Notamacropus eugenii: one gene and its partner. The protein of the gene in region 1 interacts with the protein of each later gene in a pairwise test. Links are inferred from orthologs where the notes say so. Each region holds a gene or a part of one and is shown on either strand. Other genes may lie near its edges. The genes, in order: EGLN3 and FOXJ2.

Region 1 (17,048 bases):
GCTCAGGATCAGTCATTCATTGTACCTCTTAAATAATAATAAAAATTATTAAACTGAAATAACTTTCAACATACAAAGAATACTCTTTTTAAATTCAATATTTAATAACATATCCGTGTGTTTTCATAAGTTGTGATGTGTTTTCCTTGGAGGCAAAACAGGTAAACCTAATTTGTTGAATTGGAAATGACCAACTATATATGCCTGCTACTTACATGTACCAGCATTACCACACAGAATTCAGAAAGAGAAAATCTGAGGGAATTGAAATTATTTATTTTCTGGAACAAAAACAATTGGAACTGATTTTGAAAGTCTGGTTTTCTTTGCCCACCCTACTAGAAGTGGCAACAGGGAAGGTGGTTTTACTCCAAGAAGAAATATCACCAAATGCCATTCTCTCTCCCTCTTTTCCTTCCTTCCTTTCTTTCTTCTTTTTCTTTCTCTTCTGTCTCCTTCCCTTTCTTCTTTCCTTCCCCTGTTTTTTCGTCCTTCATTTCCTTCCTTTTCTCCTCCTTTTCTTCCTTCCCTCCTTCTTTCCTTACCTCCCTCCTTCCTTATTTCTTCTTTCCTTCCCCCTCGTCTCTTTTTCTTTCCCTCTCTTACTCACGCTAGTAAGCACCCACGCACAGATTCATTTTAGGCACTTTCTCGTCACCAGTTCCATATAATTAATGGCAGTCTCTGTTTCCTGAGGGAAGAGTTTTGCAACATAGTAGACTGAGGTTTGAACTCGTTACAAAGTTATTCTCTACAGACCTGTACATCATTGGTGGGGTAGTTAGGTGGTGCAGTGGATAAAGCATCAATGCTGGTGTCAGGAGGACCTGAGCTCAAATCTGTCCTCAGATACTTGACACTCACTAGCTGTGTGACCTTGGGCAAGTCACTTAACCCCAATTGCCTCATCCTGGGTCATCTCCAGTCATCCTGATGAATATCTGGTCACTGGATTCAGATGGCTCAGGAGGAGAAGTGAGGCTGGTGACCTGCACAGTCCTCCCGCACTCAAAGCAAAGTCAAGTGAAAGTCATGTCATCATTTCTCCAATGGCATGGTCTTCTTCAGCAACAAAGGACGAACACACACATCATTGGGATTTACTCTTGGATTCCTAGAAAGACTAGGAAATCCCTAGGGTAGGAAAGGCAGACATCCTTATTTGTAGTTTGAAAAGCCTCTTACTGTAGTCAAAATAATGATTTATGGTAAGTTTCCACTTATCTCTTTATTTTTAAATTTTTCTTTTTCAAAATAATGAGCATAACAGTCAGAAACAAACATTTCAATATGTGAAAACTGAAAAACAAAATTGTATATGAAACAGCAAATTGTATTTCTTTGATGCAGCAATACCTACTACACCTACTCCTCCCAGAAATCAAAGAAAGAAGAAAAGGTTTTGTATGGATAAAGAAAACTTATGACAGTTTTGCTTTGCTTGTGACAAAGAAGGAGAAGCAAAGGTATATCAATGTGCTAGGATACTATTGTGTTATAAGAAATGAAGAAAAAGACAGTTTCAGCAAAATCTGGAATTGTTTGTATGAATTAACACAGAGTGAAGTGAGGAGGATCAGAAAAACAATTTGTACTGTGACCTCAATGTTGAAAAAAAGAGTAATTCTGAAAGACTTAAGAATTCTAATCAATGTAATGATTATCCACAATTTCAGGAAGAATTAACCAATGATGAAGCTGCTTACCTACCTTAGGACAGACAGGTAATGAGCTAATATTCAGAATGAGACACATATTTTTGGATGTGACCCATGTAGTCATGTTTTAGCTAACAATGGTTATTTGTTACAAATGGGGTTTTTTGGAGTAGTATTCCTTTTTTGCTTTTTTTTTCTCCCAGAGGGGAGGTGGCAAGTCAGAGGAAGAAAACAAATACTTGACTAAAAAAATAAAGAGAGAGAGAGACTCAAAACCTTTAAATGGATGACTAAAAAAATAGGCACATAAAAAAGTTGCCTCCTTTTGCGCAAAGACATCACACAAAGGTTTCAGAGATTTTGCTTTGTTTGGTTTTATCAAAAAGATCAATGTATTTGTACAGAAAAGGGAAATAAGTTTTATGGCACTTGGTTTTGGCAAGCATACTTAGCACTCTGAGTCACTGGCATTCTCTTTGAAAGATGCCAAAAAAGAAAGAAAGAGCAAAAATTAAGAAAATTTAAATATAAATAAGAGAGCCAAAAAAAAAAAAATTCAGAAGGAGGCACAAGTGGTCGATTTTGTTACTATTCTTAAATTTAATATATGCTTATCTCCTTCAAAAAATTAAATAGTATGGAAGAAACCAACTATCTCAGTTATCTCTGTGACAAAATTAAGTCAAAAGAACTAAGAATGATGAGTCATTTACGCAATACTTTGCGGTTTATAATGTGCTTTCTCCCACAATTTCATGAGTTAGGTAGCACAAATGTTAGTATCCCCATTTTACAAACAAGGAAGCTGAGGTTTAGTAAAGTGATTTATTCATGGTCAGTGTTTGTTAAGTATACTCCCACATCCAATGAGTCACCAAACCTTGCTGATTGTCCTCCTACAACATCTTCAGTATCTATTCCCCTTCTTTCTGTTCATATGATCAACACTGTAGTTCAGAAATTTTTCTCCTATTAATGCAATAGCCGCCTTCAGCTCTTTCCCTTCTATAAACCATCCTCCACACAGCTTCCAGAGTGATATTTCTAATACACATGTCCCCTGATCAAAAATCTCCAGTGGTTTCCTACTAGCTCGGAGGTGTATGAGGTGTTCAGGGAGAGCTAGTGCTTCTGGTGTGAGCCCTTTTCAGGACTGTTCATCCACCTTTGGTGTCCATCTTTCACCCCACTCTCACCTGTGGCTTCAAGAAGCTGTATCATGCACAATGGCCACATCCCAGTAAAATTGTCTAGGCAGATGGGCTAAAACTAGGTTTGAGGGTAATCAATATGCTCGAATTTTATCATTCCTGCATGAAAGAATATATGGGGAAAGAATTGGGCATCACTCTTTTTGTTAGTTATTTACATATGGGAAAAGTATTACATGTTCAAAGACATAATTCTGTCACTTGTTATTAATCTGGGAAAGTCGGGTCAGGAGACTTGGGTCCAAATTCCCATGTGACACTTGGCAATTCACTTAACTTTGTCCCTCATCTATAAGAGAGGCCTAGTGGTACTCCTACTCTCTACTTTTCATCGTTGTTGTGAAGGAAGCATTTTGTAACCTTAAAATATTTTACAAATGGGAGCTGTTCTTATGATATTATTACAATAACTAAAATGAACAAGTTAATAACTAAAACGAATGTATTCTAAAAGTTAGTAGCTCCATTGCTGTGACCGTTGGAACCACTCAGAACAAGTACCAGGCTCCAGCCTGTCTGAGCTTTGTTGTAAACAGACTGATTTTTTGCCAGCCGTGGCATCCCTTGTCTCCTCTGCCAAATGAAGTACTGGCATCTCAGACTTGGTTTAGAATCATAGAATATCAACACTGGAAGGGACCTCAGATTTAATTTGGATAAGCTTGCCCAAGTCTCTCCTTTTGTCCTGTGAACTGGGGTGAATGGTATTGAATGAATAATCTTAAATGTCTTGAAGAACCACAGACAAATCATTTGGGGGGGGTGCATCTAACACAGTTTTCTGATATTAATGGTGGTGTCTGTTGTGTCCATGCATTTATGTCTGCCCCCCAAAGCTCTTTATTCTGGAAAGTTATTTTGGCTTCAAAACTCACAAACTCACACCTTGTAAATCCTCTCTGCTCTTGCAAAGTGATCAGAGACAAAAAAGCTGCCAAAACTTCCATTTAAGGAGGGTACCCAAGCCAGCCATCTCTTCATTTTGCATCAGACTTCATTCTTGTGTACTTTCCAATCCCAGTTCTGCAGTAGGTATCTTCTCCTACCCCTTTCAGTTTCTTTTTCATGCATAATCATCTCCATTAGAATGGCAGTTCCTTGAGGGCAGGGACTTTGGTTGGACTTGTACTCCTGGTTTTTAGAAGAGAATATTTAATTAATTCTTGTTACCTGAATGATTTCACTGTTAATAGACAGATATACAATCTTCTAGAGAAATATAAAATCTTCCAAATGCTGTCCCTGGAGTCAGAGGACCTGAGTTCAAATTCTGTCTCTGTCTCCTATTACTTGTGTCACTTTGAGAATTATCTCTCCGGGCCTCACTTTTCTCATCTGTAAGTTAAACAGGATAGATTAGATGTTCTTAGAGGTCCATTCCAGCTCTAAATCTTTGGTCTTATAAAGTACAGTAATTAGGCCCTTAGTGGTTTAAAAATAAAAACAAAGTTCTTATCTGAGGGAAGGGGAATGAATGAATGAATGAATGAAAAAAGAATGAAAAAGCATTAACTATGCACTGATTTTGTCCCAGGCATTGTACTGTGAGCTGGGGGTATAAATAGAAAGATCAAGACAGGTCTTTCCCTCAAGAAGCTTACATTCAAATAGGGGAAGATTTTATGTATATATGTATGTATATATGTATATATATAAACACATGCACACACATAAACATACATGTATACATATATACACATATCCATATACATACGGTATTGCTAATGAGATTAAAGATCTTCCCCATACATCAATGGGCCTGCACATTAAGGGAAGCTTGATTAGGGGAGGCCTATACCTTTTGTTAATTTCCAATACACTAGTTCTCAAAGGTTGTGATACCCTCTGGCCCTGAAAAGTGTAAAAATACTCTGAGGTGAGGTTTTACTTTGGGGCTTAGTTTTTGGAAGAAGGTTTGTTTGTCAGATGAGACTCTAGGAAGCCTTTGGCAGCAGCCCCAGCTTCGAAAACCCAGATATTGGTGCTTCTCTCTGGTAACTATGTATAGCCACACAGTTATCGGTCTGTTGATCTGTGATGTATGTATTGCTTACTTTCAGACAGTTGGAAGCCCTGTCTGTTGATTTTGATTTCTCTGTATTTTCTCTGAAGTTCAGGGTGTTGACTTTTCCCCCTGAACTAAGTGAATGATACATGTGTTTGATTAAAGTGATTGTTGACCCCTCAAAAGTTACTTTCCTTTTATAAAAGCAGATCTATGAACCTGTACAACAGGCTATCCTGAATGTGTCAGAGTGCTTGCTTTTAGTAATAGATTTCCTAGTCCTCACTGATCTTTTTATGGCAGTATCAAGTCACTATTCTAGGCAGGAAGTGTGTTTTCTAGGTATCTTGCTCTCTGGCAAACTTTGGAATCAATTGTGTGACATGGGAGACACTGGCAAAGTGCTGCCCAGCATGGAGTGCCCGAATCAAAGATGATGCTGTACTCTAGGAGAAAAGCAAAATTGGAGCAGCTCAGAAGAAACGTGAGATGAGCAAATTTCAAGACACCTCTATTCCAAATGTTCACATGAACTATTTTTGTCCAACCTGTGGTATAGACTTCTGAGGTCATATTGACCTGATCAGTCACAGGTGGACACACTGTACCTTGACTTCAATATGTCATTCTGGTCCTTCTTGAGTTAAAGGACGACAACCAACCAATTCTCTGGCCCTATTTATATTCTTCCTTAAGTTTTGTTTTCAGTGAATCTATTTAGAAATCATCTAATTCAAGGGTTCTTGACCTTTTCTGTTACCTAAACACACCCCAGGATGTGTTAGAGCCAACAGACCAACCACCACTGTGAAACTTTTAGTGTGAGCATTTATACTTCAAAAATCAGCAATGACTAAAAGTTAGGGCTCAATTTATTGTTTTGTTGATTAGGAAATGTTAATAATGCAGCTTATACAAAATTGTCAGATAGTTGCTAAACATGTACCAGCACATCACTATATAGACTCCTCTGACAGTCTGTGCCTGGGGACCCTTTCTTAGAAGAATGCTTATAAATACATAAAATACATAGGGTTGCAAAGGAAACCAAGTGCATTGAAATGCAGTTATTTATATCTATATAAAGAAACACAAGTCCACAGACTCTAGGTTAAAAACTCCCAATCTAGTCCCACCCCTTTGTTTTAAAAGATGAGGAAACCCAGGCTTAGAGAGATCACATGACTTACTTAAATCACACCATTAATTAATGGTTAAAAACAGGACTCAGTCCCACCGAATATCACAGTTGAAGGGGCCCTCAAAAGACATCTAACTCAACTCTTGCCGGAACAAGAGTTACAATTACAATACTATCTCACCTCCCCTACCCCACCCCCACTTCCACACAATTAATTCGGCAGCCCTAGGTCCCTGGAGCTCCCTATTCAGTAATTCTTCCATTGTAGAGGGCAAAAATAGGTAAGTAGTTGGTTCTTGAAAACTGATTCCCACCTCCCCTTCCAATCCCAGCTCAACTTATAAATCACAGAAGGGAGAGAGTAACAGAGATGAGTCTATGTTCTTCTATCCGTTTATAAAATGTGAAGTTGTCCTGATGGAATTGGAAGGTCATTTGACCACTGTCTAGCATGAGATTAGCCACACCTCTGACGACTTTTAAAAACCTAAACCTGCCAGCCCTGGAAGCTGGAAAGATACAGCTAAGGCTAAGAAGCAGTTTTGTGGAATGTGCCTTTATCAGAGGACACCAGTAGGGTGGGGGGCACTTTACCTCTTAATAAGTCAAAAGAGCTATTTTCCCTAAAGAAGGAGAAGGGGGGCAGGGAGAGAAAGAGAAAGAAAGAGAGAGAGAGAGAGAGAGATGGAAGAAATAGTTTTAGGGAGTGTGGCTTATGGCAGCAGAGAAGAGTCAAGTATAGATTCAAGAGACAACTATCTCTGGCAGTTTGACAGTTGAGACTTAGGAAGTGGTTCACCCAAAAGAGGCATTTCACCTAAGGGAGGGTAGCATGAGGACACCAAGAGAAGAGAAAGCATCTGAGGCATTGTACTGGAAGCATGAATTTCTTTGGCCATATTTCATTTCTTCATATATGCCCCAGTATTAGCATACTCTAATATGATGCTCACTTCTCCTGCTGTATACTGGTGGAAGTATATACCACAGGTTTATGGTGAAGGGTATGTTGTACAGATGTTGTTACTGTTGCCATCTTAGTAAATGCCTCTACTTTGGGCTAATTGTGTCTATCTATTCATTATTAAAGTAAGCACACTGGTTGGTGCTAGTGAGCTACGTTTTTAGGAGTCCAAACTCAAAGTATGTTAGAAGATATGAGAGTAGACTCCCTCAGGGGCCAGAATCTGTAAACTTTTAATGGCTGGGAGCTTTTCTATTAGAAACAATCTTGGCCAATCAGGGCTAATTCTTAAAACTGATTGATTTCCTTTGTAATCTACCAAATTCAGGAAGTGGAGGGAATAGGATTGTATATCTTAGATTTTAGAGTAGGAAGGGCATCCCCAAGTCCAACCATCTCATTTAATAAATGGGAAAACTGGGGCACTGAGAGATTAAATAATTTGTCCAAGGTCATATAGCTAGCATATGTTGGAGGTAAGATTCAGATTCAGAACTTCGTTACTGAAGTCCAGCACTCTGTCTTGGAAGAAGTATGCTTTGGACATTGATCTTGGATGTAAAAGGAATTCGAAGACGCCTCCTTTGTGTTAATACCTTACCTTTGTACCACCATTTTCTCTTTGTTCTCTCTCAGATGCAACATTTTGGGCGTATATTATCTTGCTCTTTAATCATTTATGAAACTAATCTCATAAACTAGAGCTGGGCAGGAAAAGCTAGGAAGATTACAAACAACTTGTTAGTTAACAAGTACAGAGCTCCCATGCAGAGTAATAACTAGGCAACTTAAAAGCTTTAAAATTGCACAATTCCATGTTGGAAAGACTGGCTTATGCTTCTGATGAGAAAGAAGAACTTTTGAGGTTAGCTCCCCCTTTGTACTTCAGAGTTTTGCTTGGAGCTTATTTCTTTAATTAGAGCAACATAGTCTAGGCTTTCTGAAATATTTTTAAAGTTTGGAACTAGGGACTTGCTGGGAAACCTTCGTTAGCTGTTTCAGTGAACTCATGGGTGACATCTAACACTCCCATGTAGGCTAGAAACAGATTAAAATGTAATTGGGAAATATTTAACAAGGTAAGTAACACTACAATAAAACATAGATAATGTTACACTTTAAAACTAATTCAATATGCAGCTTGCAGGAATCCTTATGTATGGATTAGTGGCTGCACTTTTGTTTGAGAATGACATAAGGGCCTAGACCACTAAGAATTTCAGCAACTTGCTCAAAGTCACGAGGCTGGTATATGACAGAGACAAGACTTGTACCCACATCTTCCTGACTCATGGGCCAGCTCTCTATCCCTGGATGCCTCCTCTAGGCTATTTATGTAATGTAAATTTAATATATTTTATTTTAATATAATTTTATTTTATATTTTGAATATTTTATTTTTATTTTAATATAAAATTTGATTCTTACAACTCTGAAAACAGTGATATAGATTTTTATCAACCCCAGTTTACAAATGAGGAAACTGAGGACTAGAGATTCAATGACATTATATTCTATATTCTGGGATCAATTCAAAGTCGGGTCTTCCCAACTCCATAGTATCCTTAATAGCTGGCATTTACGTAATGTTTTAAGGTTTGCAGAGCATTTTACAAGTATTTCCATCATAACCACCTCAGAGTTAGGTGCTATCATTATTATTATTTCCTTTTTACAAATAAATAAACTGAGACAGACAGAGGTTAAGTGACTTGCCCTGGGCCATATAGCTCCTAAGTATATGAGTCCTGATTTTAACTCAGGTCCTACAGACTCCACCGTCCAGCCTTCTATCTTCTCAGTGTACCTTTCAAGACAACATTTTTTCTTGTTAGATTCAAATAGGAAAGAAAACATCACCGATGCCTATTTTATATAGATATTATTGGAAAACAATTATGCAAGTTAGGTGTGTTTTCCCCCCTTTCAATTCTAGTCAGCAACGTAAAGAAGGAAAAAGAATGTACAATCCATTGAACTGAACTGTTTAATCTATAGATAACTGAAATTTTACTTGTTTGGTTAAGCCCATCCCTAGGGTATAGTTCACCTGGCTATTAAGATACAACCATAATAACAACAAAGCAGGAGCTGGGGCATAATTACACTGACACATATCATGCCAAGGCAAACATTTTTCTAGCTCAAACTCTCCTGCCTCGCAGCACGTCTTGCAAGTAATGGGCAGTCGATAAATATTTGCTGATTAACTCATTATGGAAGAGTTTTCTTTTCATTTTCTATCTCTCTTTCTGTCTTTCCTTTCTTCTTTGCCTTTCTTGCTTTATTTTTAAAATTTTATTTTTAAATTATCTAGCATTTATTTTGTCTCTTTTCCATCCCCCCCCCCCCCAACCAACGAAAGACAAAAAGTAACAAGTAAAACAAAAACCCTAACCAAATGCCCCAAAATATGTTTCCATCTGCACCCGGAGTACAACACCCCTGTCTGGGTAACTTGCCTGGGAAATCTTGGTTGGTCAATGAATTAATGAATCTGTGTTTTCTAAGAGAAAATATGATTTAATAATAGTTCCTATTTGTACGGTGCTCTAAGGTTTGCAAAGCACCTTCCACATATTATCTCATCTGATCCTTATAAAAACCCTGACAGGTGGGTGCTATTATTGTCCTCAACTGGACAGTTGTTGAGGACAGTTTAAGTGACTTGCCCAGGGCTACTAAGTATTTAAGGCTGATTTGGGAACAGGTCAAGCCCCTGGGTCCACCGGGTCATCTACTTGATTCGGTTTTTGAAATCCTGGTAGGCATTACGCCGGGATTTAATATAGATGGAGAACTTGGTAGAAGAGCTTTCAGATTAAACTGCTCAAGCTTATGAAAATTTATGGAAAAACAAACAAAAGAGCGAATCAGTAGCATGCAGACTTGACATCCCCCTGTCAAACAGTACAGACATGCAATCGGTCAGCCCTACTCCTAAACCTGAAAAAAAGAAAATAATAAAGGAACAAAAGAGAAAATGAAAACAACGCCAGCAAGTTCTAAGAGAACCCATCTGTCCCGCCCGTTTATAAAGGCGCGAGGGGGGCGGTGTCCTCTAGCACGCTGACCTCTGGGCATTTGCAGCCAGGGGCGGGCCTCCTGATGTCCGGGGGTGTGAGTGTTGCCCAGTTAGGGGCGGGACCTGGTGACGTCCTGCGGAGTTTGGGTGGCCCGGTAAGGGGCGGGGCGGGGCGGGGACGGATACTCTGCCCCGGAGTCCTTGTCTAGTCCGCAGTCACTTTGGCTGGCGCTCCAAAAAGGGGTTCCCTCTAAGTCTCCACGCTGGGCCAGTCCAGTCCTGGGTCGATGAGCCCCGCGCAAACTCCTGCGGAGCTCGGACGGTGCTTTTGTTAAGTGGACTCCACTCAAAGAGTGGTGCGCTGGGTGCCCCCCGGAGCTGCCGGTGCGGCGCCGTCTCCCCCACCCCCGATCTCGAGGGGCAGGAGCCCTGGCACCCCGGGGGCCTCAAGCTGGGTGTCTGTCTCCCAAAGTCGCTCACACGCCTCCTCCAGTCACCCAGGCTGGGGCCCCCTCGGCTCCCCTCCGCTCGGAAGTCACGATGCCCCTGGGACACATCATGCACCTGGATCTGGAGAAGATCGCCCTAGAATACATCGTGCCCTGCCTGCATGACATCGGCTTCTGCTACCTGGACAATTTCCTGGGCGAAGTGGTAGGTGACTGCGTCCTGGAGCGCGTGAAGCAGCTGCACTGTAACGGGGACCTGCAGGACGGCCAGCTGGCTGGACCCCGCTCCGGGATCTCCAAGAGGCACTTGCGGGGAGACCAGATAACCTGGATCGGGGGCAACGAAGAAGGCTGCGAAGCCATCAGCTTCCTCCTGTCCCTGATCGACCGGCTGGTTTTGTACTGTGGAAGCCGCCTGGGCAAATACTATGTCAAAGAAAGGTCCAAGGTAAGGGCGCTGTTACTTTCAATTGGGGACTGGGAAGAGCGGCGCCCTGACCGATCGCTAAGTTAAGCACACCACTCACGTTGGCAAGAAACTTTCCCCCAAAATGTTTATACAGAGAAGACTAGTTTGGGTTAAAACAAAAATAATACAAAAAAAATAGTGGTTTGGGTTAAAGACTTGGACCGAGGCTACTTTAGCGGACACTTAATTTTAAATGAATTAGCCCCACGGATAGTGTGGTACAGTGGAGTGAACGTTGGATTTAGGAACCTAATTCCGGCTTCTGCCACTTAGCATTTGTGCGTTCTTGGACAAGTCATTTTCCCTCCTCCGAGCCTCAATTTCCTTAACGTGTAAAATGAAGGTGTTTTTCCTAGATGTCCTCTGAGGTCTTTTCCTGTTCTAAAGTTGTGATCAGCAGCACTGTCTTTGAAGGAACTTCTTTCATTGCTGGTAAAAAACTAATCAACCTTGGTTTCTGTATAGTTTGGTGATAATTTGATACTGAGAACCAGTGGACTAGACAGATGAAGTTAGCATTGGACACGTCTTAAAGATTTCGGAATAGGTGTAGCTTTGTTCTTGTTTAGTCATCCCGTAGTCCCCCCCATACCTGTTGCTCTGGTGTGTCTCCAAATACACTGTCTTTGGGGACCCATAGTTGTGGACGGCAGCTTGTGCAAGGTGTAAGCTCTTTCCCTCTCTCTGTTTCGGTCGGTGCGTTTGGCCCTTTGGCCCCAGGTAGGGTTGATCTAATTTGTTGCTTGTGAAGATCTTTCCTTGCTACCTTCAGCCAGGCCCTTCTGTAGCAGTAAATAGTTGGTGAGAGAGTAGTCTAGGACTTTTGGAAGGAAAAGAGGTTTCAGTTCACCTATCCCTCAAGAGACTCTTCTTGAGGGTAATTTCTTAGATGTGCTTACGTTGTATATTGGCAGCATCTCTGCAAAGGTGGGAAAGTTACCTTAACTGTAGTATCTGTGCTATTTGTCTACAGACTTGGAGGGACTTGCAGACAATCTGTCTTCAGGTGTTTATTGGTTCAGCCCAGGTTGTTTCCGGTAACAGCTCCAAGTGACTCTACATTTTCTTTTATCCTAAGGGAGGCTGAGGGGTAGATGAGCATAAGTACCTTTTAAAAACCTGAGGGGCACAGAGGAAAGCAAGCTGGCCATCAGGTACCAGAAGAGTCATCTATGTATTATTTGAGGGGGAAATAAAGTATTTTTCACAGTTCAAGACTGATTCTGTGATAAAACAAACCACTGCCATCCCTTGGCCCATGATCTGAGATGAGTTCTGTTAAGACAAAAAATAAAGGACAAATAGCTAAGATGTAGAATTGAGTCCTCGGAGAAGTGAAGGAGGGAGGAAGAAAGAGACAAGTATTAATTAATTAATGAAGTGTCCTGTGCTTTATAAATATTTGGTTGTGAGGAGGTTTGGAATAGAAAATTTGGAGGAAATTAGAAGATTTCTCTAAGAGGAGTTCAAATTATTTAAAGACAAAACCAAACCCCTAAACATCTGCTTTTAACTTGGGGAAAATTGCATTACCTTCACAGAATTCTTGAAGTCTGCCAAGAGGCATTTATTAAACGCTCAGGAAGTCATTTTAATTAATTAAGATACTAGACTTTCTGGTCCAATTTTGAAGGACACTCAAGATGCCTAAAGTTCTTTCAAAGCAAGATTATACAAAGTTTGAAATAAATGCTTCTTGTGGACACTGAAAAAAATAGCTTTGAGGTAGTAAAGAGTAAGTAATCACTAAGGAGATCCATCATTCCATTTAAACCTCTCCAAGTTTTAGCTTCTTTATGAGCAGCAGCCTGACCCACCTATAGGGGATTGTGGATCATCCCTACTCAGTCCTTCCTTTTACAGAGAGGATAAAGTGACTTGCCTGAGTTCTCATAGTTACCATTTAAGTCAACAAGCATTAATTGTGTCTGCTATGTACCAGGCGCTATGCTAAGGGAGGAGGGGGTGGTGTATGTATACTAATCCCCCCCACCCCCCACCTCCCTCAAAAAAGGAACCCAACCCAGGTCCTGAATCAAATCAAGTATCCTTTCCACTGGACCACTCTGTTTTTGCAAGGCCTGTCTTTCAACCCTAAAAGTTTAAGGGTAAAATTTTAATGGAAAGAATCTGAAACCCATCCAGGGCAAGAAAATTTGGTCCCATCAGGATTTGATGGTTTTATCCCATATTGGTGTGATATCCTTCCACGATCGGAATAACTTAATTAAATGTAACTCATCCAAAATGTAAGTGGATTTTAAAGTTTTTACTGGGTGGATCCCTCAAATACTTGTCTTATTTGTCTTTTCACCCTCTCCTAGGGCCCTCCCTCCATGCTTTCACACTCACCCACTCCACCCCACTCAATGTTTCACAACTTAGTGTTGGTAGATTTTTGTTGAATGAATGCTTTTTGAAATTGAAGCAAGGAAATTTGATACTGATGTCCATTCTAACAAGTGGAATTTAGGAGGTTTCTCACAAGGCAGCCTACCTTTGTCCAGAATATAGATTCTCATCTGCTGTCCTAATATGTAGCTCTTCATTCTCCAAATGTATGATTAATAGAAAAAGTAAGGCAAAATATTCTCGAACCAATTAGAATGTGTGTATATTCACATCTCTAGTGAAAAAAGCTCTATCAGAAGAAGAGAAGACATAGGGTCATATAAAGAAACCTCTTTAGCGCTCTTGGATTAGAGAGACAGAGGTGGTATCCAGTTCCTCATTTAGTAAATTTTGGTAGAAAGGAAACCATTTTCTTTCGAGGAATTTTCTTAACTTTGCCTGTTTGTCTTCCTTTCCTGTCCTTTACTTATTTCCCTCCATCTCCAGTATGGAGAGTACTCTATCCTAGGCATGGAAACCTAATCAAACATAAGGCAGAATCTGCTAAATCTATTTTAGGTTTCCTACTGTTCTTAAAGCTGAGGTATGTATTTATTTGTTTGAACATATGAATAATACTTTTCTTACTTTTAATGAGTCTTGCGAAGGAGCAAAAGCCATCAAATTGTAAGTTTGTCTAAACGCCAGGCTGAAAAGGAGAAATATTGGTCAGAGTTCAGTTGCTGAAGAAATGAGGGGCTGCTGAGATTTTAAGAGAACCCTTCATTAAGTTACCTGGGCTGAATTGACCTTGGCAGTTGAACTTGTTGGAAACATATCTTCAGGTTCTTAATTAAGGAGTCTTTGGGGAAGTCTCTTGGTTGTAATTTCTTTGCCATGTGCAGCAGCATGGCGCCCCCTAACTTCAAGTGTGGTCCTTGCTTAGAGACCCTCCCTGTATTCGTTTACAAGACTGCTCCCTCCTTTTTCAGGAATGTAGGAAATCTCCAAGACAAATATTGGTCACTACTTTCTCCTTTTACTTGACTGCATAAATCTTACGGAACAGGGATTTATTTTCCACTGGGATTGTAATTTATAGAACCAGGAGTTCTCTTGCTCAGCAATAGTCAACAGCTAGTTAGATTTTTTACAGTAACTCACCAGGTAAAAATGTCACTAACTCACAAGAATGGATATATACATATACATATACATATATATTTATACACACAGACACACACGTATACATACATGTGTGTATACATACAAACATTCATATATATGTTCTTATGTATATGTGTTATGTATTTTCATATATATTTTTGAACCGTAAGCCCAATTCTAATTCACATTTCACTGATTGCCAAGCCTTTCCCTTAAATGACTGTAGAAGCTGATTCTGAGTTCTTGGAAAACTCAAAGGCTTTAGTGTTTCCCATTACTATTTTTAGAAAATCCACTTATTAACTGAGTTGATCACAAATAGCCTTAACTGGAGTAGCCTCAGACCGTCATGTGTTTGAGGACATCAAGGAAGTAGCTTCCCTACCCCAAAGGGATTCTTGTGTGACCCAGCCAAACAATCCATGGGCAAACCTCACCATTTAGCCTTGAATTATTCTTGGAGAACAATTAAATGGATAAGAAGTTTATATAAAATTAAAAAATAACACCACCACCCACCAACCCGGGTGTAGATTTTTGTGGGTTTTGTTTCTGTGCTGATGGATGGTTTTTCCTATCTAGCCTTGACTTCTTACTTCTTCACTGGCCACAGAGAAATAGATGAAATAGAGAAATAGAAATAGATAGAATGGGATAGGGGCAAGGGAGATAGCTGCTTGCTTTCATTCTTTGGATCTGTAAATGTAAGCTCTCCTCGATGTTGATAAGACCATCTTGTCACCTAAACCTCTGTTTCTTAACCTGGATAAACAATCCAGTTCACACATAAAATGCCATTAATATAGAGGCTTTAAAGAAAAAGGTTTTGGTTAAAAACTTTTGTACTTTTTTCAGATAGTATGTGTTACATTCTTATGCAAATACATCTGTGGGGCTTCCAGTTCATATTAAATTTTCTCAAGAAAGTGCTTTGATCCATCCGAACTCTGAAAAAGTCATGGGATTGGCTTCATATTTGGGACCTCTCAGTTCCAGTTGTAATGGACAGAGTAGCTGGGACAGAAGTAATTTTGAAAAAACACTTCCTTTAGAGAAAACCTAGAGGTTATTTTATTATTTTTTACTTATGCGAACTTGATCAAGTCTCTGTTTTCTGTAAATTGGGTTGAACTGTACTAGATGAATAATCTTAGATTACCTTAAATGCCATAGATAAAAGACTTTTATAAGGTAATGCTCTGATATTAATGGCTACATCTTGTGGTTAAATATTGAGATCTTTTAATTAATAGATATAAACCTTCCACGGTTAGCATCTTGATAGCTTAAAACAAAACAAAACAAATTCTTGGCTTTTGGTTGGAACACACCCAATTTGGAAGTTTCCAGATTTTCTAGGGAAGCAAAGCACTCCAGAAAACAATTTCACAATCCTCTTTGCTTTATCCATTTGCAGTAGTGAATTGCCTTCCTAGGCTAGAAGTGCACGTATATTACTTATTTCACTCTCTTGCCTAGTTTATACCCATTTCCCTACATTCTGTGTTCAGTGAAGCTGGACCAGACGGCAGCAGTTTGTTTATAGCTGCCAACCCTTGTCTTTTCCCTAGACTTAAAGAAATCTAATTTTATTAATTTTTCATATAGTCTTTAATCTTCTTTCCCCTCTGGACCTGCTGAAGTTTTAGGAAGAGAAAACCTGTAGGCTTAGAAAAAGGATCTTAGAAATCTTGCGTTCTACCCATCTAGACTTAACTAAGCTTCTTTTGTTTAGAGAAAAAATAAATTTTAAGCAAGGTATTTGAGTAGCTGAAGGACATGAGGTTGATAAGAGGTCATTCCTTTTGGAAGTAAGCTGTATTCAGAGAAATCTTAGAAATGGGGAGGAACCCAAAATTGTCCAAATAGGTCAAAAAGGATATAGAAAATGAATTAGCTGGGGTGGAGTAGTCTGTTTGGAATGTTTGAGTACTGTTTTAAAATTGTATTTATGTATATTCATTTATAAATTAATTTATTTTGAGTGAATGAAACTTTTGTTATTCACTTTATTTTTTATTAAGCACAGTGTTGAGTGTCACAAATAGAAAAATAAGACAGTTCTTGATTTAAAAAGGAGTTCATATTCTAATGGAAGAGACAATACAAATGGAAGGTTTTAGCTACAACTCCCTCGGGAAAGTCCCTTATGGTACAGTGTCAAAACAGATGGCTAATGCCTCTTCTTTAATATCATTTTTGTTTGAAATATTTGAAATAAAATTCTCATCCTTTAGTTCATATGCATCCTAAAAATGGGCTCATAGATTTAGAGATCTTAAAGGCTATTCTATTGAGTCCAACTCCCTCATTTTGCAGATGAGGAAACTGAGGCAGAGAGGTTGTGACTTGCTAGAGCCAAACAGAGTCAGTAAAGTCTCTAAGAGAGGACTCTTTCTGGCTCTAAGGCCAGCCTTTTAACCCTTTCATTACCTAGGTACTTTTAGCTATCTGGTCCCTCTAATCACCTATACATTGAACTTATCTTATTTTTCACTCCTCCCATCTTCTTCACCTTTCTTCTGGTGAAGCAAAGTTTTTCAACTCTGAGTTAGAATTTTTTAGAATTTGCAGTGGCCATTTCAAATCTGCTCCGCACCCTTCTGTATTTTCCTCAGTTGAAGACTA
Region 2 (16,329 bases), on another chromosome or scaffold:
TTTTATTGATATAAGTGTTTAGAGATATAAATTTTCCTGTAAGTACTGCTTTGGCTCCATCTCATAAATTTTGGTATATTGTCTCATTGTCATTCTTTTTAATGAATTTATTGTTTCTATGATTTATTCTTTGACCCCCTTAATTTTTTAGGATTAGTTTCCAATTGTAATTTTTATCTATCTTTCCATAGCCTTTCGTTGAATGTAATTTTTATTGGTTTATGATCTTAAAAGGGTGCATGTTTACTATCTCACCTTTTCTGCATTTGGTTGTGAGGTTTTTATGCCCTAATACATGGTCAATTTTTGTTTAGGTGCCATATACCACTGAGGAAAAGATATATTCATTCTTTTTTCCCCATTCAGTTTTCCCCAGACGTCTATCATATCTAAATTTTCTAAAATTCTATTTACCTCCTTAATTTCTTTCTTATTTTGTGATTAGATTTATCTAGTTCTGAGAGGGGAAAGTTGAAGTTTCCTACTAGGATAGTTTTGCTTTCTATTTCCTCCTGTAACTCATTTAACTTTTCCTTTAAGAATTTGGATGCTATACCATTTGGAGCATATGTTTAGTATTGTCTCCTTTTAGCAGGATATAATTTCCTTGCTTATCTCTTTTAATAAGATTTTTGTTTTTGTTTCATCTGAGATAAGGATTTCTACCTCAGCTCTTCCTACTTCTACTCTAGTCTACTCCCTTACTGTGTTTCCCTGTTTCAAGTGTGTTTCTTGTAAACAGATTGTTGCATTGTTTTATAATCCACTCTGCAATCTGCTTGTTTTATGGGTGAGTTCATCCCATTCACATTTGCAGTTATGATTACTGTGTATTTCCCTCCATCCTTCTTTCCCTGTTTATCTCTCTCTCTCCTTTCACCCTGTTCTTCCTCAAAAGTGTTTTGCTTCTGACCACTCCCTCCCCCAATCTGCCCTCCCTTCTATATCTGCCCAACCCCCTTTTCTTCTCCCTCTCTCTACTTCCCTGTAGGGTAAGATAAATTTCTATGCCCAACCAAGTGTATATATAATTTCCTCTTTCAGCCAGTTCTGATGAGAATAAGGTTCAAAAATTGCCGACCAACCTCTCCATCTTCCCCTTTATTGTAAAAACTCTTTAGAACCCTTTTTATGTGAGATAATTGACCCATTCTACCTTCCTCCTTCTCCCAGTGCATCCCTCTTTCTTACCTCTTAAATTTTTTGCATATCATTCCATCATAGTCAATTCACATCCCATGCCCTCTGTCTTTGCATACTCTTTTAAACTGTCCTAATCAATAGATAAAGGTATTAAAGTTACAAGTATCATCTTCCTGTGTAGGAATGTAAACAGTTTAACTTTATTGAATCCTTTATGATTTTTTTTTCCTGTCTACCTTTTTATGCTTCTCTTGAATCTCGCATTTGAAAATAAAATTTTCTGTTCATTTCTGGTCTTTTCATCAAGAATGTTTGAAAAATCCTCTCTCATTAAATATTGATTTTTTCCCCCTGAAGGATTATACTCAATTTTGCTGCATAGATGATTTTTGATTGTAATCCTAGCGCCTTTGCCCATCAGAATATCATATTCTAAGCCTTCCAATCTTTAATGTAGAAGCTGCTGAATGCTGTGTCATTCTGACTGTGGCTTCACAATATTTGATTTTTTTTTTCTTTCTGGCTGCTTGCAATATTTTCTCTTTGATCTGACAGCTTTGAAATTTGGCTATAATGTTCCTGGGAGTTTTCATTTCAGGATCAATTTTAGGAGGTGAATAGTGGATTCTTTAAATTTCTATTTCACTCTCTGGTTTTAGGACATTAGAGTAGTTTTTCTGAATAATTTTATTTGAAGATGATAACTAGGCTCTTTTTTATTATGATGGCTTTCAGTTAGTACAATAATTCTTAAATAATCTCTCCTCCATCTATTTTCCAGGTCAGTTGTTTTTCCAGTGAGATAGTTCACATTTTCTTCAATTTTTTTCATTCTTTTGATTTTGTTTGTTTCTTGATGTCTTATGAAATCATTAGTTTCCACTTGCCCAATTAAATTAAATTAAATTTTAATTTTTAAGGAATTATTTTCTTCAGCAAACTTTTGTATCTCCTTTTCCATTTGTCCAATTCTACTTTTTAAGTTGTTTCTTCAGTGAATTTTTGTACATATTTTTCTATTTTATTTTGCTTTCTTTACCAAGCTGTTGACTTTTTTCATGATTCTTTTGTATCATTTCTTTCCCCAAATTTTCCTCTACCTATATTTTTTTATTTTTAAAATCCTTTTTGAGCTCTTCTAGGAATTCTTTTTTTGGGAGGGACTGACACCAATTCACCTTTTTCTTTGAAGCTTTGTATGTAGCCATTTTGACATTTTTGTTCTGAATTTGTATATTGATCTTCCCTGTCACCATACTAATTTTCTATGGTCAGGTTCTTTTTATGTTGTTTGCTCATTTTCCCAGCCTATGTCTTGTCTTTTCACTCTATGTTAAAGTAGGACTCTGTTCCTTGGGTGGAGTGAGCATTGTTCCAACCTTTACATTTTTTGTGCTGCTGATTTTAGAGTTGCTTCTGCAGACCTGTAAGTTTTCAGTTATTTCAAGGTGGTATGATCTAAGGAGAGATTTGGTCACTGCTCTCTTGGCCTGTGCTTTGGTCTGTGAGTGACCACAAGCACTCTTTTGTGCCCTGGAACTCTGATCAGTGTCCCATTCCCCTGTGGTTTTGAGCTGTAGTGTGCTAGTGCCGATCCTCAACCTGGAACTACAAACTGGGTCTGCAACCTGGATCTTCATATGGGCAATAGAACAGAGTCCTGCACTTAGCGTAGTGTCACTTAGTGTAGTGCACTTAGTGCAGCAAAGTGTTCCTTTTAATTTCCTTCTGATGAGTTGTCCAGCCCCCTTACCATGGCTGGGTTAAGAATTCTTGGAAGTCATTGCTATTCATTCAGTGTGCTGGCTTTTCAGGGACCAGTTTGCTAATGGCTTGCTGCCTTTGCTGGACTTTGCTCAACTCTCACCCAAGTGAGACAGACCTTTTTTGTAGACCTTATAAGTTGTCTTGGGCTGGATAATTGTTTCATTCTTTCCTTTTGTCGGTTCTGTCACTCCAGAATTCATTTGGAAGCATTAAAGTGGTTTGGAGGGGAATTTGGAAAAGCTTAGGTGAGTCCCTGTCTTTACTCCACCATCTTGATTCTGCCTTAACAAACTGTTGAGTTGAACTATTAGAGACTGAGACTGCTAGTAAAGGGAGGACAGCTATCTATTTGTCTGCAAAGCTGCAATGGGGTGTATATCTGCACAATCTGTTATCCTACCACACCCATATTTGCTAAGTCTTCTCAGAAATACACTACTTATATTACACACAAAGTTGGGCTACCCCAAATTGAAATTCACATAATTTGACATTTATCATCTGTTATGAGCAGGGCAAACTGCAAGGCACTGGGAATACAAGTTTAGGTAAAACATAGGTCTTGCCATGGTGTAGTTTCTAATTTGGTAGAGTGATATAATACTACAATACAACAAAATGCAATAACTACAATTTAAGAAATAAAATACTAGACTTAAGAGTTGGAAGTGCTCTTATATAAATGCACCAGAAAAATATTAAACAAATTGTTGAGAGGTACATAAGAAGAAAAGGACATCAGGGAAGGCAATCAGGTAAACTTTTGCCACAGGTGGAAAGGTTTAGATTTGAAAACCTATCCAAGGGTTTGGCTTATTTGTTGTTTTTTTTTTGTAGACCTCCTGATGCCACATGCTAGCTCCCCACCTTCCTTCCACTCCATCTCCTACATGTAAAAGGGATGGGAAAACCACCTGGAAACCTACATTGGGCAGGATGGTGCTACGTGAGCCAGGGACCAGTCCTTGAGCTTTGCTATGCCTCAGTCTTCCGTCATCTCCAGGGACAGACGTGTGTTCTCCTTCCCTGCCTCCCTCCTTCTGTCCCTTTTAAGAGGCATGAGGTCATGTGTTAACAGGTGTGTCGGGAACAGAAGAGACGCAGAAGCAAGTGTCGCTTCTATTCCCGGTCACTAGGAAGTGTGCTGACTTTAATGGGTTAACAACGCACACACGAGACGCTGACTTTGGGTGAGAGTGGTACCCTGCTGAGCCCCACTAATTAATTACACTTTCTATCTTCTCATAAGCCCATCTTTTCCTATTTCCGGGTTCTCTTTCCCTTCCGTTCTTCGGTAAAATAATTGGGCTCTCCCCGTCCCGCCTCCAAACCTACAGCTAACCCGGCGAGAAGTGGGAAACCAATGGGAGCCTCATCCCTACTGCGTTTTGTTTATGCTTTTCCTTACGTCATTTCCAACGTTAACCAATCAGTAGGCTAAGGAGGCGGGGCCAATTTTTTTACCATTTCCTGCCCATGCAGTCACCTCTCTTTGCTAGTCTCCGACCTCATGACAGACTGTTAAATTAGCCAATTGAAAAGCTTGTTTGTGCCAAACCTACTCAGACTCTAACCCATCAGAGAGAGACAAAGAGCACCAGGGGAGGGGAATAGAAGCTTGACCCTTCTTTTGGAATGGGTTTGAGGAAGATTACAATTGGTTGAACTTCCAGTTAAAGCTGGGTGGTCGCAGCGTGGCATTTACTTCGAGGGTCGCAGCTTTCCTCTTCTTCCTCCACCCCATGCCAAGTTGTGCCCTGTACCCCACCTCCCTACCCCCTGATCGTTTCCAGCTTCCAGGAAAGAGGCCAGCCTTTGAGTGCTATGCTCTCACTCCCCTTCTCAGGCCACCCAGCCCTAGGTGCTCTTTTCGATTCCCCGCCCCCCAGCTCTGGTGTCAATCTCCCCTTTCTGCGCGTCTCTTTCTGCGACTCTCCTCCCATACACAGGTTCCTGAGTCCAAGCTGCAGGGGTGGAGGGGGGGACGAGGGAGGAGCTGGTTGCTGGGGAGTGACAGAACCATCTTAAGGTGGAGCGGGACAGTTGGGAGTGTCTGGATCTCAAAAGCGAGGCGAATGCCACTTTCTCTACAGTCTCTGCTTTTCCAATGTTGTGCTTTGCCCAGTACTGATTAAAGTAATCTCCCAATCCTGTAGGCCCCCGTGATGCCCCCCATGATCCTCCTGCCTCATCTCCAGACCAGTCTTTGCCCCCAAACTTTAGGTAGTCCCCCCAGAGATGACTTAAAGGACCCACAATGGTATTTAGAGGGTAAGTAGAAGAGGAGAGAAAAGGATTTTATTAGCCAGGGATAAATTTATAACCTTGCAATATGGCTTATCTGCCTCTTAGGGCTTCAATCAATCAACAAAACATGATCAAGCCCCTGCTTTGTGCCCTAAGCGCCGGCTTTACAAAGAAAAGTAACACAATTCCTACCCTCAAGTGGCTCACAATCAAATGAGAGACACAGCATACAAATATATTCAAACAAGCGATATGTAGGCTGAATCGACTCATATACATCATGGCTAGTGTTTTATTATCCTTGCTGGAGGAGGCGTTAGGGAGAGGAGAGAGAGCCAGGCTAGAGGGTAGATAGGAGATGTCCAAGGAGAGTGTAAGCTTGTGCAGTGGCGACCTGCATGAAGCGATGCTGAATAAACTGAGAACAGTTTATACTGTTACAACGTGACAAAGAAAAAAACAACTTTGAAAGAGTTGGGAACTCTGATCAGTTTCATGACCAACCATGACTTCAGAGGAATAATGCGAGGAAACCTTCTGAGAGGGAAGAATAAGAGACATTTTTGGACACAGTTGTTTTAACTATCCATATTTGTTACAAGGGCTTTATTAATCTTTTTCTAACGGGGAAGAAGGTTGAAGGGGGAGTAGGAATAGAGAAGCCAAAAAAAAAGGGGGAAAAAAGATTGTACAGTGGTGTTAATATTATCTAGGGGGAAAACAGGTTCTGAAGAGGGAGCTGAAGCTTGTCCTGTAAAGGGTCAGGAAGTTGTGAAGTTGTTAAAGGGATTGTAAAGTGAGTTGCAGGAGAGTTCTTAGTACCTTGCTTTTCTGTGGTGTGAAGAATCCCACCTTCTGCAAGAAGGTTTTTCTTATCCCTTTTAATGCGAGTGGCTTCCTTCTGGGATTACTCTGTTTATCTGGTATCCAGCGTGTTTGTACACCGTTATTTGCATGGAGGTCCGCCCCATTAGACTGTGAGCTCCTTGAGGTCTGGATACTTTTTGTCTTTATTTGTATCCCAGCGCTTCGAATAATAACAAAAGATAAAGGACAGGCGCTCAATAAAAGCTTGTTGACTTCATTTTAACAGTCCACAAGGGACTTTGGGATGCATATATATACATATATACACACATACATAGACATACATCCATATGTATAGATGCCAACTCCCTTGAGCCTGACAGGTCTGGTGGGGGTAGCCTCTCACTTTACAGACGAGGCTTAGAGGCTGCGATCTGCCCAAGGTCACAAGCTACAGGACCCCCAGGTTTCCGACACTTAGGCTCCGCGCCTCCAGCCCGAAGTGGACGGAGCATCTGGGACCATCCCGGGGCTGCTCGTCCCTCCGGGATGGGTGGGCGGAGGGGGTGACTATCTAGCCGGAGGGAAAGAGCCCGGGGCGGCCGCCCGGGCCAGCGGGAGGTGGGAGCCTGCGCACCTCCCCAAGCCTCCTTAACCTGGGCGGGGAGACGCCGGCCGTGACTGCCGGGCTGGGCCGGGGGGCGGGGACACGAGGGGAGGGGGGCGAGGAACCGCGCGGAGGCCGGGGAGGAGCCGGGGCCTGCAGCGGAGCGCAGCCGGAGCCCGAGCCGAGCCCGGGGACCGCGCGTATGTTCGCCAGCTGCCCCACTCTCGCGGAGTCCGGGTAGCGTGGCGTCCGGGGTGGCGGCGCGGGCAGCCCCGCGGGCCCCGGGGGACGAGGCGGCCGGCTTGCCGCCGCTGCTCCCCCGCGCCGAGCCCGCAGCCGCGGCCTCCGTGCCGGGCCAGCCGGGCAGCCCCCGCGGAGCGCCGAGGGAGGCGAGACGCCGCGCCCGGGGCGCTCGGCCGGCCTCTGTTGGACCGGAGACCCCTAGAGCCCGGGCCGTGCCCCGGGGGAGCGCGTCCCCCCCCGGGAAGCAGGGGCACCCTCCTTCCTCACCTCCTGCGTAGACACACTCACTTCTTAGTTCCAGACTTTCTGGGCAAAGGGGGAAAGGAGAAAGGCGCCCTCCTCCTCTCGTGCCCGCGCTCCTTTGGCGAGAGCCGAGAAGAGTGCCAGGACCAGGGCTGCGAGGGCACCGCAGGGATCCCTCCCGTACTCAGGAAAGGGCAGCGACATCCCCACCCCAAGTCCGCGGGCTTCTTCCTAGGACCTAAAAAGTGGAACCGGGCAGCGCCTCTCCCCCTCCTTCTCCAGCCCGCAGAAGTCCCTCGCCCCCGAAGGACTCCGTTTTGAGGGGAAGGGGACTCTCCCAAGGGGGAGGAGACAACCCCGGGTTGGGTGAGGCTCCTCCCCTTCTCCCCAGGATTACTGCCAAGGCGTGGGGGGTCTACCACCTCCCGCAGGTAGGACCTCCTTCCCCTCCTGCGGCTGCTCCACCTTCTCGGGGCACTCACCTCCCCACCCCAGCCTGGGGAACTCGGCAGAGCCCACGAAGAGCTACTGAGGATGGGGCCCTCGGTCTGCCCCTAAAGAGAAATACCCCTTCAGCCTCACACTCCGGTGCCAGGTGGTTCCCCTCCTTTGCCAGGAGAACCTCGGAGGCAGGTGAGTAATGCCTGTGGTCAACCTCTCCCTCCTCCCTCCCTTTCCTTCTCTGACTCCTTTTATGAACTAAGTGGATCAAAAGAGGGTGGAGGTCCAGAATTTGGTTTTGACATCTAGGAAGTGGATCTTTTTGGGCCAGGGAGTTGCAGAGGGATCAGAGTAATGAATACTTGGAGAATGGATCTTCTAGAGATGACAAATGGATCCTGGGAGGTGGAACTTCCGAAGCTTGTGGAGTATGGATCTTGTTGCCAAGACTCTGGAAAATGGGTTCTCTAGAGTTTGGGGAGAGGTGGGATTTCCTCCTCCTCCCCAAGGAAATCTTGCTGAGCATGCTGAGAAGCAAGGGGATGGGAGGCATCAGAAAAGTGTGCCAGCACCTTCTGATCTTTATATTTGTCATCCTCAGCCCACCTTGCTCCCAGGCCAGTGCAACTCTGGAATTGGCTTTCATTCACCAAGCACTTCTTAAGTGCCTTTCATATGCCAAATTCTGTGCTAGGCCCTGTGGCCTGACAGGGCAAGGGCTGGCACACTTGGACAGATCCTAGGACTCTGTGTCTGCTTCCTGATGTCTAGATCATAGACCAAAGAGTAGGTGGCCCCAAGCTTGAAAGGCTTGTAGTCACATGAAGTTTTAACTTTCCCTCTAGCCCCTTGTGTGTTTGGAGATTTTCTTTAGTGTAACAGAATCATGGAATGATCATCATGGGGTGTAGAATTAGAGAAGACCTCAGACATCATCTTATTCAACCTCTTCATTTTACAAATGAGGAAACAGAGGTCCAATGAGTGAAGAGATTTGCCTGGGATCTCACAGGTTTTAGAGGGGAGTTGGGATTTTAACTCAAGTCTTCAGATTCCAAACCCAGTCTTATCTTTGCACCTCATGCTGCCAGTTGCTTTAAGATTTGACACCATTGTCTAGGAGTCCTGTCAGAGTTACATCATGTCACAGCCAGCGCCTCCCTACCTATGTTAAGGAGGTTTGGCACCTGCAGGGACTCCCACCTACCCCTGGCCTGGGCAAGGGATGAGCAACCCCAGGATCAATCAAGATGCTGTATTCATGTATCCAAAGATATGTGTGTATCTCTCTGTAGTCATGAAGGTGGGGTCAGTGTCACAGAAAGCCCTCTTCCTCTGCATCTCTATCATGGGGTCATGGATGGTGTCATTTTGCTCTCATAGCTCATAGAAACTATTTGGAGTTGAGGTCTTAGATGCCATCTAGGCCAATTCCCTGATTTTGCAGATGAGGAGTCAGGACAAGAGAGGTTTTGTGACTTGCCTAAAGACACAAAGTTGATAGGGGGCTGGGTCTCCATTAAGCCCTAAAGAAGTATGGGAGAACTAGAATTTAGTAGACTGCACGACTTTGGGAGGACCAAAGCTGAAGCCTCTCCCTACAGAAAGATCTATACCACTGTGCTGTAGGGCTTCAGTTCTATTATGATTATACTTCAGGTGAGAGCAAGTGTGATTTAACCGGAAAGGGATGTGTGTAGTCAGCAGTAAGTCTTCTCAAAAGAATCTTTCCATCAAGGAGATCATGACATCTAAGAAATGTCTTAGATTATGGTTCGATTCCAGAAAAGCCTCGAATAGTTTCTTTCTAGTTCATGGCCTGGGGTGAATGCTCCCCAGCTTGTATATAAGCCTTTCTTAAGAGTGTTGAGGGAAGTCAAGGTTGCAGTAGAGAAGATACTGCTCCAAAATAGTGGGATACTGGGGACTCCCTCCTGTTAACCCTTAGACTGCCTCCAGGAGAACTATCCCTTCTGGAGATCTGTTAACCTCTCTCCTTTTTTTTTTTCCTTTTAACCTCAGGGGCAATGAGTTAGCTGTATGACTCCAAGCTTGTTAGACACCTTATCTTTTTCTGAACTATTCTAGCCTTTGCCCTCTACTTTATCCATTCCTACCCATCCCACAGCATAGCTGGGTGTGGAACTATGCTTGGGTTCTTACTTTTTCCTCCTGCTTCTCCAGCCTAACCCCAGGATGGGCTACCTAAGCTGCTGAAATTGCTTCCTGACTCAAAAGTAGCAGTCCATAGCATATATTTGGTGAGAGACAGGATCAGATCTGATGAATTGGAGCCTCTAGGCCAAGGGGCAGGATCTTCTCCAAAGGGGAATAGGATATTATGGAGTAGATTTAAGTATAAATACTCCTGAGGAGGCATGTTAGTACATTATATGACTGAATGATAATTCAAGTGTATGTCTCTACGTTTCTATGTTTGGAGTATCTATGTCTGGGTGTGATTGACTGCAAAGCTGAGAATACCAGGGTACCTAAAATCATGTTTCTGGTGCAGTCTGTACATGGGATGGACCCTTATGAGTCCTGGTGAAGTATAGACATACACAGAGTAAGGTGGGGGTAGGGAATACTTTTTGAAGCCTGACATCCTTGAATGATTATACAGCAATAATCATAAATATCAGAGTAGTCCAGGTTGGGTTCGACACCCTTGGAACTTTGGGAGTGATAGAAGATTCTCTAGGTTTGGAGGTTATCCAGAGATATTTGAGCCTTCACCCCAAGAACTTTTCATTCTGGCAAGATCCAGTTTTGCTATGACAGCTTCTCTCTTCTCCCAAAGCAGCTGACCATCTGGTCAGGAATAAAAATTATTCCAGCACCCCAGTTACATTGGGGAGCTTGATCACAGCCTAACCTAAAATGCTACCTTTCTGTCTGACCCCTAAGTGGGGTCAGGTGGAATGATGAGTTTGGTAAAGGACTATGGATTTAAAGATTGATCGATCTAATGTAGTCCCCTTATTTTACAAATGAGCAAACTGACTTCAAGTGGTTAAGTCCATTGCCTAAGGTCACATAGGTAGTAAGTGGAAATTCTGGGATTTGAACATATGTGCTCTAGGCTCAAGTTCATGAGTCCCTACAACTATGAGCACCAGAGCTTATACTTATATAAGCTCCTAGACCTGATTCTGTCTCTGAAAAAAAACAACAGCCAAAAACTAGGATGAACCCTAAGGACTTGGTAACAAAGCTGAACCAAGCAAATTTTAGGTTTTATATTTTATTCTGTCCCTGTTTTCTTCCTTCCTATTCTTTCTTCTTTCCTTCCTTCCATCTATCTATCAATCCTTCCTTTCCAAATTGGTGCTGTCAATGGGTTAGCCCTATGATCTGATAGAAAATATTTCCAGTCTCCGAAAGAGGTTATTTGAAATTGAGTGGAAGAAAATCTTGTCCTCTGGGAACTTTTATGACCTATTCAGTGTCTACCTTGGTTCAGTGGAAAGATCACTAATTCTGGAGTCAGAGGACTTGGTTTCAAATTCTGCATTTTATGATCACTGCCTGTGTGACCTTAAGCAAATCATTTAAACTGCCTAGGCCTCAATTTCTCATCTGTAAAATTAGGGGTGGTGGTGGCGGCTTAGGTTAGATGGTCTTCCAACTCCATGTCTATGCTCTTATGACAAGGGAGAGGATAAGCATTTATATAGTACCTACTGTCTACCAAGCACTCTGCTAGGTACTTTTACAAGTATTATCTCATTTGATCCTCACAACAAGCTTGGGAGGTAGGTACTGTTATTATTTCCATTTTATAGTTGAGGAAACTGAGGCAAAGAGAGCCTGTAGTCACATAGATAGTAAGTGTCTGAGGTCAGATTTGAACTCAGGTCTTCCAGATTGCAGACCAGACAACATACATCTGCCTATCTAAGTATGAAAGTGAGAGACAGCTTGGTTGTAGTGTAAAGAGCTTTGGATGTGAAGTTGAGGCCTGAGTCTGAATCCTAGCTCTGGCATTTAAGAGCAAGTAGATCGAGGGCAAGTTCCAGTCCCTCTGAGTCTGTTTCTTCTGAAAAATCAGGATAATAAATGCACAGGAGTAGAAGCAGGAATCCAATTGCAGACCATAAAGGGGTACAGAAATGTGAGTGATTAGAAATGCCATTTTATTTGAAAAGCAGTATTAGGGGTAAAAAGGGTAAAGAACTGATCATGACTCAGAAAGAACTTTCTATGACTCAGGCAGTGACCCTGGGCAAGTCCCTTAACCCAAGAATGTTATTCGAAAGAAGGTACTGATTTGCACAGGTGTGTGGGAGAAGTTCCTCCCCGGGAGGAGCTGACTCTCTATCTCAGTGATATCATAGAACTGGGGAGAAAACATTTATAATCGGCCCAGAATGGTGGAAGGGGGCTGAGGGTAAGGGAACAAGCATTTATTAACCACCTACTGTGTGCTAAGAGCTTTACAAAGGAGAGAGAGAAAGCTCGCCTTGGAGTCCGGAAGACTTGGGTTTAAGACTGGTCTCTTTCACATTCAGGCTGAATGACTGATGTAGGTCACGTAACCTAGCAGTGCCTCAGGCAATACTCTTAAAACCGCCGTTGGTCCAATTGATCTGCATTGGTAAAAAGTTTGTGTACTTAGAGCTTCCTACACTTTGAAGTTAGAGGTCCAGGCAGAAAAGCCGTAGTAGTAAAAATATTATGAGTCAATCTAAGTGTTTGTTTATTTAGCAATCTATCTAGTATTTATGAAAGGGAGAAATCACTTCTTTACTACCCTCTGCTCTTATCACTCTCAGAAAGCATATTTATATAGAGAAACCTGTCCCTTTAAAAAAATCAGTTTGTTTCAAGAAACAAAAATACATTTTTCTCTCTGTACTTCCCCCATATGGAGAAAAAAAAAGAAAAACAAAACCCTTGTAACAAATATGCATAGTCAAGCAAAACTGATTCCTCTAATGGCATGTTCAACAGATCTATGTCTCATTTTGCTTCTTGAATCCATCACTTCTCTGTCAGAGGTAGGTATCATGACTCTCCCATGATGACCTTTTACCAGCTCTGGATAAGTATTACTTTTCGATCTCCCAGACCAAAGACAAGATGATGTGACCTTGTTTAGGTTCTGTGGCACTGTAGTAGCATGAATCTCCCCTGGAAGAAAGAAAGGGCTAGACTAGTAGTGGGGGTTGAGAGGAGAGTGGAGAATGATAAGATGGAAACACCTTCTATTTTTTCCTTCTAATAATAACCCGATGATTAGTCTCAAGCCATTTTTTGGGGAGCATGACAAATATGAGCACAATAAGACTTAATTACTTATCTCAGTGGGAGAAGGGGTGAATTATGGGTAGGGATTATAGTCTGTATCTTTTTAGTGATTGGATTGGAAGGGTTGGTTAGGTGTATTTAGGGAGTTGATGGCAGTATTGGGAGTAGAATTGAGGTGATATGTTTGGGAATCATTTTTATGAGAAATAGGAGGGGTGGTAAGGGAAATAGGATGAGTTAAAGGAGAATGGGGATGGAACATCTCTGAGCTGTAGCCAGATGTGGTTCCAAGGGTCATTGCTGTAGGCTAGGGAAGGGCCTGACTCAACCAGGAGCAGGGGGGACCTCTTCCTCCAGGGCAACTCACAATCACCCTATCCTTGCTATGATGTGCACATACATGCAATGCTGAAGGAAAAGTTCCCCAGCACTTTGAATTCACCCTAATGCTCCTGCTCAAGCATAGGACAGTTTTTTAATGTGATTCTCTAGGACTTTCCATGTGCCATTTCCTTGACTCCTCCACAGAGATCAGAAATTTTGGTAGCAAATATTCACCTCCTGTAGCACCCAGTCAGGAAAAGCTGGGAGCCTGACCTCTTGAGAAGGGAGTTAGTTCTCCATTCTCCTTCTCCTCCCACTCCTCCAAGTATGGGGTTTTGCTTTGGCTGGCCAGAGGCCTGGCTTGGGCTCTGTCTGTGATGGCTGTCACAGCTGCCCACTCCCTCCTAGACGTGGCAGCTTTCTAATTCGGTTTGGTTTGGTGAGGTGTTGGAAGACCTGTTGGTGTCTGAAAAGACAGGTGACTCACCCTGTACATTTCTATGGTGTAGATCAGGTCCAGAGACCAGAGCATACAGGAGAAATCTCTTCCTGGTGCTATTTATAAACATGGCATATTTTTTTGGCTTGTCATTCGTCTCTTGGGTTGCAGTTCCGTCCTGGCTGCTTAGACCCCTAAGGCACTAAGGTGTTTCCTCCAGCTCTGGGGAGCTGGGCTTTCACTTTGCGTTGCAGCATGGGTGTGTTTGTTCATGTGAATGTCACTACTGGGTGCATGTACATACATGCATGGAAAGCTCAGGTGGGATACACCCTTGGTGGAAAAGGGCAAGAAGTTCTGGGGATTCCTGGGCCCTGGGGGAAAAATGGGGGCATTTGTTACGGGGGAAGAATGGTCATTTTTTAATAGGTGACTTAGGTTTAAAGGTAGATTGGAATTGTTAACAGCAGTCTGTTGTAGGAATATGTGTTTGTGGATCAGGAGGAGAGATTGCATTCATGAATGTGGCTCAGCCCAGAGTGACCCTGGAGACATTCCAGCTTAGGCTTTTCCCCAGGAGTGACCGTGGCCTCTCAGCAGGGGTGCCACAGGGAAGAGATTATACCAGCCAGAATTTAGCAGGCATAAACCTGTTAGGTGGCAAATCTTGAGGGGAATGGATGCTCTCCTCACCTTGAGGGGCATGCCTCTGGGGGATTTCTATCAGCCCCATCCAGATACCACTTCACAGGTGTCACCCATCTTTCTTAATTTTCTATCACCAAGGCTTCACACTCCAGGAGCCACCTCCCTGCCCTTCAAGAGTGCCCAGGCTGTGTGGGTGGCAGGAGGGTTTACCATCCCAGGCATGGGTGGCCTGGCAGTGATAGGAGTCTGCATGAGGGTTTTAGGCAGGGTGCGTGCCTGGCTGGGAGAGAAAGATAGAGAGGGAGAAAAGGAGCTCAGCTCATCACTCCAGAGGGACTATTTTTAGCCAGCCTGTCTGATTGTTACCGGTGCACACGCAGCTGGGTGTCTCCCTGGCTCAGTGGAGCCATCATGCTGGAGTGGTGGGAGGTGCCTCCCTTGGTCTCTTCCTTGTGTGCGCATGTATGTGTGCGTGGGTGTGTTTGTTCTGGGGAAACTGCTGAAGGTGTGTGGGGTATCTGTGTGCTCATGATTTGTTACCTTTATATGTGATTGCTTTATGGGTAATTTGTGATGGTTGTAACCTCTGTGAGTGTGACATATGGTACACTGTGATTATGTGTGTGTGTGTGTGTGTGTGTGTGTGTGAGTGCTTTTGTACCTAGTATCTTTTATTTATGGGTGTGTAGTATGTTCTCTCTGTTTATGTATGGTGTGTACAGTAAGTCTCGGTGTACATGGGAGCTGGATTAGAAAGGTGGATCCTTGGAATACCTCTTAAAAGTGCCTGTGCACACTGAATATAACTGTAGGGTCTCAATCTATACGTATTTTTATATACATATATATCCAGACTGAGTCAGGGTGCCTATGTAATTAATTCTAAGCATTATGGATCTGGAATTTGAGTCCTCACTTTGCAATTTACCTTTGGGTAAGCCTTTCCAGGCCTCAGTTTCTTCATTTGTAAAACAAGGGCTTTTATATTCTAACCTTTCTTCCACATCTAAACCAAACGATTCTGGGGGCCCTCACTGTTGGCTGTATGTATGCAAGTTTTCAACTTTGCTATACTATAAAGCTCCTGTTCTAAAACAGTGGTCTCTGGACCCCTGAAGTTCCCCAAGCCAAGACCCTTACAGGGGATTTGTGAGATCAAAACCATTTTTATGATAAACTAAGACATTATTTATGCACTAAAATACTCCCTTTTTCCCAGCTACTTATCTGTGAGGCCAGATTTTCTTGATATATTTCAACCAAAAGGACATATCACAACAAGGCTTAGTACAGAAGACAGAACAATTCATCTTGTCTTCTATTAAGCTAAACATTAAAGAGATTTGCAGAAATATGTAAAGCAATCCCACTTTTCTCACTGATTTTTTTTTAGTTTTAGAAAGTACTGTTATTTTTCATAAAGATATTGTGTTAATATATTATAGCTTTATTATTGTTTTGAATGAATTAATATTTAAATATTTTTAAAATTAATCATTTTTAATTTCTAACATGGTAGATAGCAGTAGCTATAACCCACATAAATAAAAGTTCCTTGGGGTCCTCAGTAATTTTTAAGAGTGTAAAGGGATCTTGAGGCCTAAAAGTTTTAAGAACCTCTGGTGTGAAACCATAAATGGAGAGAGTCAAGGGACTGGGCAGTTGTTCTCAGTTTGGAGAACAGTATAGACTCTCATTTAGCTTTTGCCTATGGGAAGAATTCTATCTACCTTGTTTCAGGGTAGGATGGGGAATGAGGAAAAGTTGCCGTGATCCTTTTCAATCATGGTCAGATAGGTGGAATATTGGGTCTTATGGGAATGAGGTGAGATGAGTAGGAGTTGTTCATAAGAGAAATCATTTAAGAAAGTGACAGCAGAATGAAAACTCTTTAAAGGGTGGAATTAGAATGTGGTCCTCAGGAGCTAGACACTATTTCAATTAATCATTTAGTGAACATTTAACAACCTCTGATGTACCAGACACCATGTACATTGTTCTGTATACACTGCACTCATTCATTTCCATTCTGTCCCTGTGTGTCCTCTTCTGCAGAAGCTGGTGGCACCATGGCTTCTGACCTGGAGAGCAGCCTCACCTCCATAGACTGGCTTCCGCAGCTGACCCTTCGGGCTACCATTGAGAAGCTGGGGGGAGCTTCACAAGC

Evidence for each region.
Region 2: the proteins of EGLN3 (region 1) and FOXJ2 interact in binary tests that used the Homo sapiens proteins (3 or more experiments, as listed by UniProt). The two-hybrid records come from large-scale screens. The link is inferred for Notamacropus eugenii from reciprocal best matches to the Homo sapiens genes EGLN3 and FOXJ2.

The regions. Positions count from the first base shown.
Region 1 is NC_092878.1:51,260,905-51,277,952, reverse strand, and holds the start of EGLN3 (prolyl hydroxylase EGLN3), read left to right. Parts: upstream 1-10,189; 5' UTR 10,190-10,544; coding exon 10,545-10,901; intron 10,902-17,048. UniProt on the Homo sapiens protein: Prolyl hydroxylase that mediates hydroxylation of proline residues in target proteins, such as PKM, TELO2, ATF4 and HIF1A. Target proteins are preferentially recognized via a LXXLAP motif.
Region 2 is NC_092874.1:191,593,945-191,610,273, reverse strand, and holds the start of FOXJ2 (forkhead box protein J2), read left to right. Parts: upstream 1-7,189; 5' UTR 7,190-7,690; intron 7,691-16,217; 5' UTR 16,218-16,231; coding exon 16,232-16,329.